Pelodiscus sinensis: one gene and its partner. The protein of the gene in region 1 purifies or fractionates together with the protein of each later gene. This does not show direct contact. Links are inferred from orthologs where the notes say so. Each region holds a gene or a part of one and is shown on either strand. Other genes may lie near its edges.

Region 1 (3,746 bases):
CAGGGTGAGTGAAATGCTGCAGCGCCTCGGCTGTTGTCTTTGGAGGCAGACAGCTGCCAGCGGCATCCCTGTGGGAGCTAGGCCTAAGCACCACCCAGGAAGCCAGCGAGAGAACGGGGACTTGCGCCCAGCTCTGGCAAGCCTCCCTACTGCCCTGCAGACAGCCCGCTGCCCCTCCAGCACCCCCACCCTGGCGGACATTTCCCCCCTCGCTGGGGCTGCCAGCTGGATCTGGGGAGTTCATTCTGCTGTGCATCTCTCTTGCACACACACTTCCCTGGCCTGCACACACACACACTTCCCTGGCCTGCACACACACACGCACACACTTCCCTTGCCAACACACACACTCTTCCCCGACCTGCACACACACACACACACACACACACACTTACTTCCCTTGCCTACACACACACACACTTCCCTGGCCTGCACCTGCACACACACACACTTACTTCCCTTGCCTACACACACACACACACACTTCCCTGACCTGCACACACACACACACACACTTCCCTTACCTAAACACACACACTTCCCTGGCCTGCACACACTTCCCTTGCCAACACACACACTTCCCCGACCTGCACCTGGGCGCGCGCGCACACACACACACACACACACACACACACACTTACTTCCCTTGCCTACACACACACACACACACACACACTTACTTCCCTTGCCTACACATACTTCCCTACCCCCTCCCCTCCCCTCCACTTACTTCCCTTGCCTGCTGCGCCAAGCAGGATTGGTCCACACCGCCAGGCGCTCCCCCCCCCCCCCCACACACACACTTTTGCGCGTGCGCTCCACTCGGGGAAATAAGGCAGCTGCGCTGCGCCTACACACGGAGCCTTACGGCCGCGGGGTGTATCGGCCCGCGGGCAGCGGCCGGGCTGCCTGCAGCCGGGCAGGTGGAGGCGGCGGGGCCGGGGCTGTCGGGGGGCCGGGCTGCGGGGCAGAGGCTGCGCTAGGCGGCCCGTCGGGCAGGAGCGGGGATGGAGGGGCCGGGCTGCGAGCCGCTGCCCCCCGACCTGAAGGAGCTGGAGGGCAAGGTGGGGCGGCGGCCCCCCGACGGGCTGCTGCGGTGGCTGCGGGAGGACCCGGCCGCGGCGCTGCTCGGGGAGAGCCCGGCCCGGGGGCAGCGCCGGGGGCTGGCCGGCAAGATCAAGGCGCTGAAGCTGGAACTGGTGAGTGGGAGACCCCCGCCCACTGCCTGGTCTGCCCCCCCGAGCCCCTCCCCCGCCTGACCCCCCAGCTCCCTCCCCATCTCCCCCTGTCCCCCATCTTCTCCCCCGCTGCCTGGTCTGCCCCCCCCCCGCTTTCCTCTCCCGCCTGACCCCCCCAGCTCCCTCCCCATCTCCCCCTGCCCCCCATCTTCTCCCCCACTGCCTGGTCTGCCCCCCCCGCCTGACCCCCCAGCTCCCTCCCCATCTCCCCCTGCCCCCCATCTTCTCCCCCTCTGCCTGGGCTCTCTCTCCGGCTTCACAGCCTCCTCCTCACCTTCTCCCTCCCCATCTCCCTCCTCCCCACTGCCTGGCCTGCCCCTCCCCCGCCTGACCCCCCAGCTCCCTCCCCATCTCCCCCTGCCCCCCATCTTCTCCCCCACTGCCTGGGCTCCCTCCCCGGCTTCACAGCCTCCTCCTCACCTTCTCCCTCCCCATCTCCCTCCTCCCCACTGCCTGGTCTGCCCCCCCCCCCCGAGCCCGCCCCCCGCTTTCCTCCCCCGCCTGACCCCCCCAGCTCCCTCCCCATCTCCCCCTGCCCCCCATCTTCTCCCCCACTGCCTGGGGTCCCTCCCCAGCACCACCGCCTCCTTCTCATCTGCCCCCCCGCCTGCGCCTCCTCATCTCCCCCCCACTACTGGCCTGCCCCCCCAGCTCGCCCCCATCCTCCAGCTCTCTCCCCCTGCCCCCCATCTTCTTCTCCACTGCCTGGTCTCCCTTCCTAGCACCACAGCATCCTCCCCATCTTCCCCCCCCTCCGCCTGCCCCTTCTCATCTTCCTCCTCCCCCCTCACTCCCTGCTGCCTGGTCTCCCTCCCTGGAGCTTCAGCCTCTTCTCCATCCCCCCCCCTTTGCCAGTCCCTGGGGCTATACTCCTTCTCCCCATACTTGCCCCTGTCCCTTCCCATCACCCCTGGGGCCCCAATCTCTCTACCCCCCATGCCACTCCCACCTGCTCCCTGTGGCTTCTGGCAGCCCTGCTTTCCCCCTTGCCTGCCCCCTTGGGCTACGGCCTCCCACCTCCTCTTCCCTTCCCTCTTTGGGCTACAGCCCCCCTCCCCATCTGCCCCTCACCCTGTCTGCCCCTCGGGCCTGCAGCCTCCCATCACATCCTCCCTTCTCCACTGGAGCCACACCTCCCCCTTGATCTCCCCGGGGGCGAGGGTTGGGACAGTTCTTCCCCTCTCTGCGCTAGGGCCAACACTGCCCTCCTGCCCCATGGAGTCACCCCCCACCTCCTCTCCCTCTCTGCCCCATGGGGGGCTCAGGGCAGCACCACTCCCTGCTTCCCTGCCCCGTGGGAGGGCGGGGACCGTCCTCTCGCTGCCTGCTCCGTGGGGTCACCGATATTCTGCTCTGCCCATCGCTGGGGCATCTGGCCCCTCCTCTCTAGAGCCAAGCCTGGCTCGGTGGGTGGGGGAAGGGGTTCGTTGTGGTGGGAGAGCCCCGGGGTCTACGCTCTGAACGTGGGGACGTGGCCCCAGGGTTGAGATGCCCGACCCGGCTGGAGTTCCCAGCTCCTCTGGCAGTCAAGCTGCAGGCCCAGGGGGGGGGGGCAGGAGGAGGCAGTGTGGGGTTGGGACTGTCCCCTGATGTCCCTTTGGGTGTTGGCTAGGTCGGGGAGAGCAGCCTCCAAAGGAAAACACTGGAAAGGGGGCCACTGTGCTCCCGGCCTGTCTAACCATGGCTGTTTAAAAGCTTATCGTTAGGGAAAGGAGGAAAGTCTGGTGGATAAACCACACGGCTGGAGTCCAAGAGACCTGGGGCTCTTCCACTGAGTGTCTTGGACAAGTTCCTTACTCTTGTCCCATGCCTCAGTTTCCCCACCTGAAACTCCTCCCTCTAGTGGCTCGATTTTTGCTGGCAGTTGTGCGCATGCACTAGTCTCTCCCCTTGTCCATGACTCAGTTTCCCCTGCTATAATGAGGCCGGTGGGCACATTACCATATCTCCTAGTGGCTTGGGCAGGGCGACTTTTGGCTCATTGAATGTCAAGCGCTTTGAGATCCTTGAAGGGTAGCGGGCATAGAAGGGCAAAATATGATCTAGCCAAAAACTGGGTAGGCAGGTTTTTCTCCCCAAAAGAGCAGGGATCATCTTTTAAGTGTTATAGGCAGGGAATTCTAGCCCTCTTCCCCCTTCCATGTGTCAGCTGCTGTCTCAAGTCGCCTCTTTTCGCCGTCTGTGGCTGCTTCCTACCTCCGCCCCCCCCCCCCCGTTCACCGCCAGGAAGAGGGAGCTGGCCTCCTGCAATGTCAGCTGTGTTCTGAACACGGAATCCTAACGCTGCCAACGGCAGGAAGCAAGCAGCTGGCGAGTGACTCACGGCATCGCGACGGGGTGACTTGGGAGTCGGAGAGCAGTTATTGTCGTCAGGCGACCCGGCAGGCCGGAGGTTAGCGAGGAGGAGGGGGGAGTGATCTGCTGTAGGGGCAGTGAACCAGCCAATTTCCAACCCCCTTACTCTAGTTTAATGATTACAAGGGACCTTAGATTTATAGCTCACTGGAA
Region 2 (3,746 bases), on another chromosome or scaffold:
AGTGAATATGTCAAATTGCTTCTCCTATTCTTGCACAAGTAGAAACAGAATAAATATTCTGTCATAAACACACTGGATGACAATGTGGTGGTGGTCCAATAAGGGATGAGACCACCAAAGAACTGTAGAGAAAGTACCTTATCCTCCAGAAATCTGCCCTAATCTTGCCTTCTCAATATCAGGACAAAGCTATAAACATATGATTGTAAGAGACTATATGGTAACTTATGAACAAGTAAATTCTCAAAGTGAAATCATACAGCATTTGTTACAAGGATATGGAAAAAGAATCCACTCTGCAGATGAAATACAAAAAGCTCCACTACAAAACAAATGCACCAATAGCTGTAGACTTACAATGCAGATGTGAGAAATTGTTAATTATTCAGTTGACAATCACATTATTGACATCAATAGATAACTTCAGAAATGGAATCCCCCTTAGGTTGCTAGCATGTAACAAAGAGTGGTGGTCCCCACAGAAATTAAGAACCAGCTATTCTGATATTTTAAAGCACTAATCTAATACTAAGGCATTTGGTATTTATTAAGATAAAGATGTAGACTTCCTTATAGCCCCACCCAAGGAAATCCTTTTAGATAGGGTGTTTCTTTACCAATCTAATTCATATGCGTGTGACACACAGGATAATGCAATGTGCCCAAGATCTTATAAGCCTTACCTCCCCCACAGCTTTTTATGCCACAAAGAAAATTAGTCACCTTCACCAATCATATTTATTTAAACAACCTAAACTGGTCAGCTATCATCACCAATTTAACATAAACCAGGGAGTAGAGCCAATCCAGTCTAATAGTATTACCAAACCACTACCTATAAATAAAATTCATAACAAAGATACACCTTTACAAGAAAAAAAAATTATCCTGTGCCACCACCCGTGCCTTTTCTTGTGGGTTTTCAGCAGTCAGGTTGATTAATACCATGGAACACAAATAATGAAACTTATCACATGGATTATCTGGAATTGCCTCTTTCCTTCAAAGGTACACTCAGATTAAAGCATGCACTCTAAATGTGAAGTACCCTCCTCACAAGCCCCCCTTCCTCTTTTAACCGATTATAACAAATCTGTCACACACAGGACACAAAGCCTTGCTAAAGAAGCAGAATTTCCTGGCCTGTCCCTGCTGCCCCCACCCCATCCGTTCCAGGTAGGCACCGGATTAGCCTGACATTTCAGGCTAAGCCAGGCAGGGTTTCAGGCCAAGGGCACTCTAGGGCCACTCCTTTTACTCGCAGCCAGGCGGCTCTTTTGGAAAGGGAGGCGGCGGTTACCGGGTTTCAAGGGTCACATCCTGGCAGCTAGGGTGTTACCAAGGGATGCGTCATACCCAATGGGCGGCATCTCCCCTTCATGCAAAGCATGGGCTTTAAACCTGGGGGGAGAGGGAGAAATGACGAGCTGGCGCTGCTCCTTTTCCCCAACCCAGCTCTCACTAGCCCAGAGCTGCTCCCAGCTCCAGGGGTATCCTCTCCGTCGTGCCGGGAGATGTCCGAACCGCGACCCCCGGGAATCGCCCGCCCGCCCGCCCTCCCCTGACAGGCCTCACCCCACTCGAGGAAGTCGGAGACATATCGGTCCCTGCGGAGCGGCGAGTCGCGGCTGCACTCGGTGTAGAGCCCGACCAGCAGGTCCAGCAGGGTCTCCACGCTCAGCGCGCTCTCGTTGCGCCGCGGCCCGTCCAGCAGCAGCTGCTCCAGCTTCTTCAGCCGCACCTTGGCCGACATGGTGCCGCCGGGCGGAGCCGGGGAACACCGGCCCAAACAGGGGGACGGGGACGCACAGAGGCCCCAGACGACGACGCTTCAGCGTCCCCGCAGCAACGGCAGCACCATCCGCTCCGCGGCGCTCGGCTCGGCAGCCCGGGCCCGGCAGCGGCGGGGTCTCCTCCTCCCCCTCACGCCGACATTTTGGGAGGCCCGCCGGGGGCTGGGCAGCTGTTTCCACGGGCTCTGCCCCAGGCCCGGCTGGTCCATTGACCGGTCCGCCCGGACCCGGCCTCCTGCGCCCGCCTGGCCGCCGCGCTCAGCTTCTCTCAGGGCCGCAGAGTCCGGTACGGGGATCCGCCGCGGTTGCTCCTCCTGATGGGACCGGAGGCTTCAGGTAACCCGGGGCCGCGACTCCTCAGCTGCAGCGAACACGGCTCTGTCCAGAGGAAGCACCGAGCGGCCCCAGCCGGGACCCAGAGCTACGCCCACCACGCTAGCGTACGGACGGACGTGTGAGGCGGGGCGAAGCTGTCCCGAGGAGTATTGGGAAAAGTTGTTTGCCGTAGAGGTAGGGCCGCTCTCAAGTGTCTTTGGAATGACCTCCGCAGATTCGTCATTCCTGGGCAGAGGCGAACCGATTAGTTTCAGTAAATTCGTTCCCTGGTAACGGGGGAGGAGGAGAAGGCTTTGCTTTCTCCTCAGCAGATTCGCATCGACTCCCTGGCTTCCGTTAGGCAAATGGCGGCAGATGTTGTCGGGGGTTCAGGCCGTGCCGGCGGCTGAGGTAACCCCAGCGCAGGTGTGGGACCCCGGCCGCCCAGCGAAGACAAGGCTGGCATCAGCCGCACGTGTCCCACCCCCGTCAGACCCCACAGCGATCGTCATCCCCTCCCCCCCGCAATAGGAGAGTGAGCGGCCGGGGCTGGCGCCTCGGGGTCCCAGGGACGCTCAGCCCGCCCCGCCTGGGCGCGTCCGGCTTCGCCTTCAGCCTGCGCGGAGGCCCGGCTTAGGGTGAGAGCGTGCGGAGCGGGAGCGTGGCTGACAGGCAGTGCAAGAGCCGTGTCCCCACGGACCCTTCCGCCGCAGGGAGCACGCAGGGCAAGTGCCGGCTCCCGGGACCACCGCGGCTCCAGAGCCGGCTCGCTCTGCTGTCGTTTGCAAGGCATCTGAGGGTTCCCCACCTCCAAGCACCGACCGAGCTTTAGCGATCATAGCAGTGGAGGGAGGGAGGGATGGGTGTTACACTGTGATGAAAGCTAATATAACTGGTAATACCACAGGTTGTCAACAACAAAAGAGGATTTTGTTTAACCCAGAACAAATGGAACTGGATTCCATCTACCTACAAAAACATTAAAATAATATAAGGGTTGGACTATTTATATACACCAACACCCTATAGCTTGCTATTAAGTGTACTTAACGACATATCTCTTTCTAAATGAAGAATATCTCTAGCTATCCCAATCTGCCCAAGCAATTTTTGTTCTAGTTCAAAGCTTTCCTTTCCCCAAATATCTCACTGGGCATTTTCTAATAGCCAAGTCAATCTCTGAGCCTCACTAAGATGGGAGGAGCTACCTCCCCTCCATAGAAAAATGACAGTGAACACAACATAAATCATGTCCTGAGACAGCAAGGAATGCCTTTGCCATATTTATATTAGTATTCCATACCTACAACTGCCAGCTTTTGCGGGCCTGATGCAACATTGGACATTTGGAACTCAACTCTCTGAGCCACAGCCATTGTGAATAATGCAAGAAGGTCCCTGGTAAGAAGTCATTGTCTCTGGCAACTGTGGCCACTTTTAGCCATGGAACCCAACATAGGGCTAGGATTTGAGTTCAGGGACTGTGGCTCTCAATAGTCAAATAGAATAGAGCACTAAGTGGTGGTGTTGACACGAATTTGGGACTGTAGGGGGCATTGAATAAAGCAGTCAGAGTGTTTACATCATTTTTATTACATTACAAGCACATTCTGGGAGTTGTCAGCTCTGAGAATTACA

The links. The genes of interacting proteins can lie anywhere in the genome.
Region 2: the proteins of LURAP1 (region 1) and CDC42BPB purify together in Homo sapiens (co-immunoprecipitation; 3 studies listed by BioGRID and IntAct, with this or other methods). This does not show direct contact. The link is inferred for Pelodiscus sinensis from reciprocal best matches to the Homo sapiens genes LURAP1 and CDC42BPB.

What each region holds. Positions count from the first base shown.
Region 1 is NC_134719.1:2,896,440-2,900,185, forward strand, and holds the start of LURAP1 (leucine rich adaptor protein 1), read left to right. Parts: upstream 1-832; 5' UTR 833-1,007; coding exon 1,008-1,199; intron 1,200-3,746. UniProt on the Homo sapiens protein: Acts as an activator of the canonical NF-kappa-B pathway and drive the production of pro-inflammatory cytokines. Promotes the antigen (Ag)-presenting and priming function of dendritic cells via the canonical NF-kappa-B pathway.
Region 2 is NC_134714.1:21,258,500-21,262,245, reverse strand, and holds the start of CDC42BPB (serine/threonine-protein kinase MRCK beta), read right to left. Parts: upstream 2,270-3,746; 5' UTR 1,754-2,269; coding exon 1,576-1,753; intron 1-1,575. UniProt on the Homo sapiens protein: Serine/threonine-protein kinase which is an important downstream effector of CDC42 and plays a role in the regulation of cytoskeleton reorganization and cell migration. Regulates actin cytoskeletal reorganization via phosphorylation of PPP1R12C and MYL9/MLC2.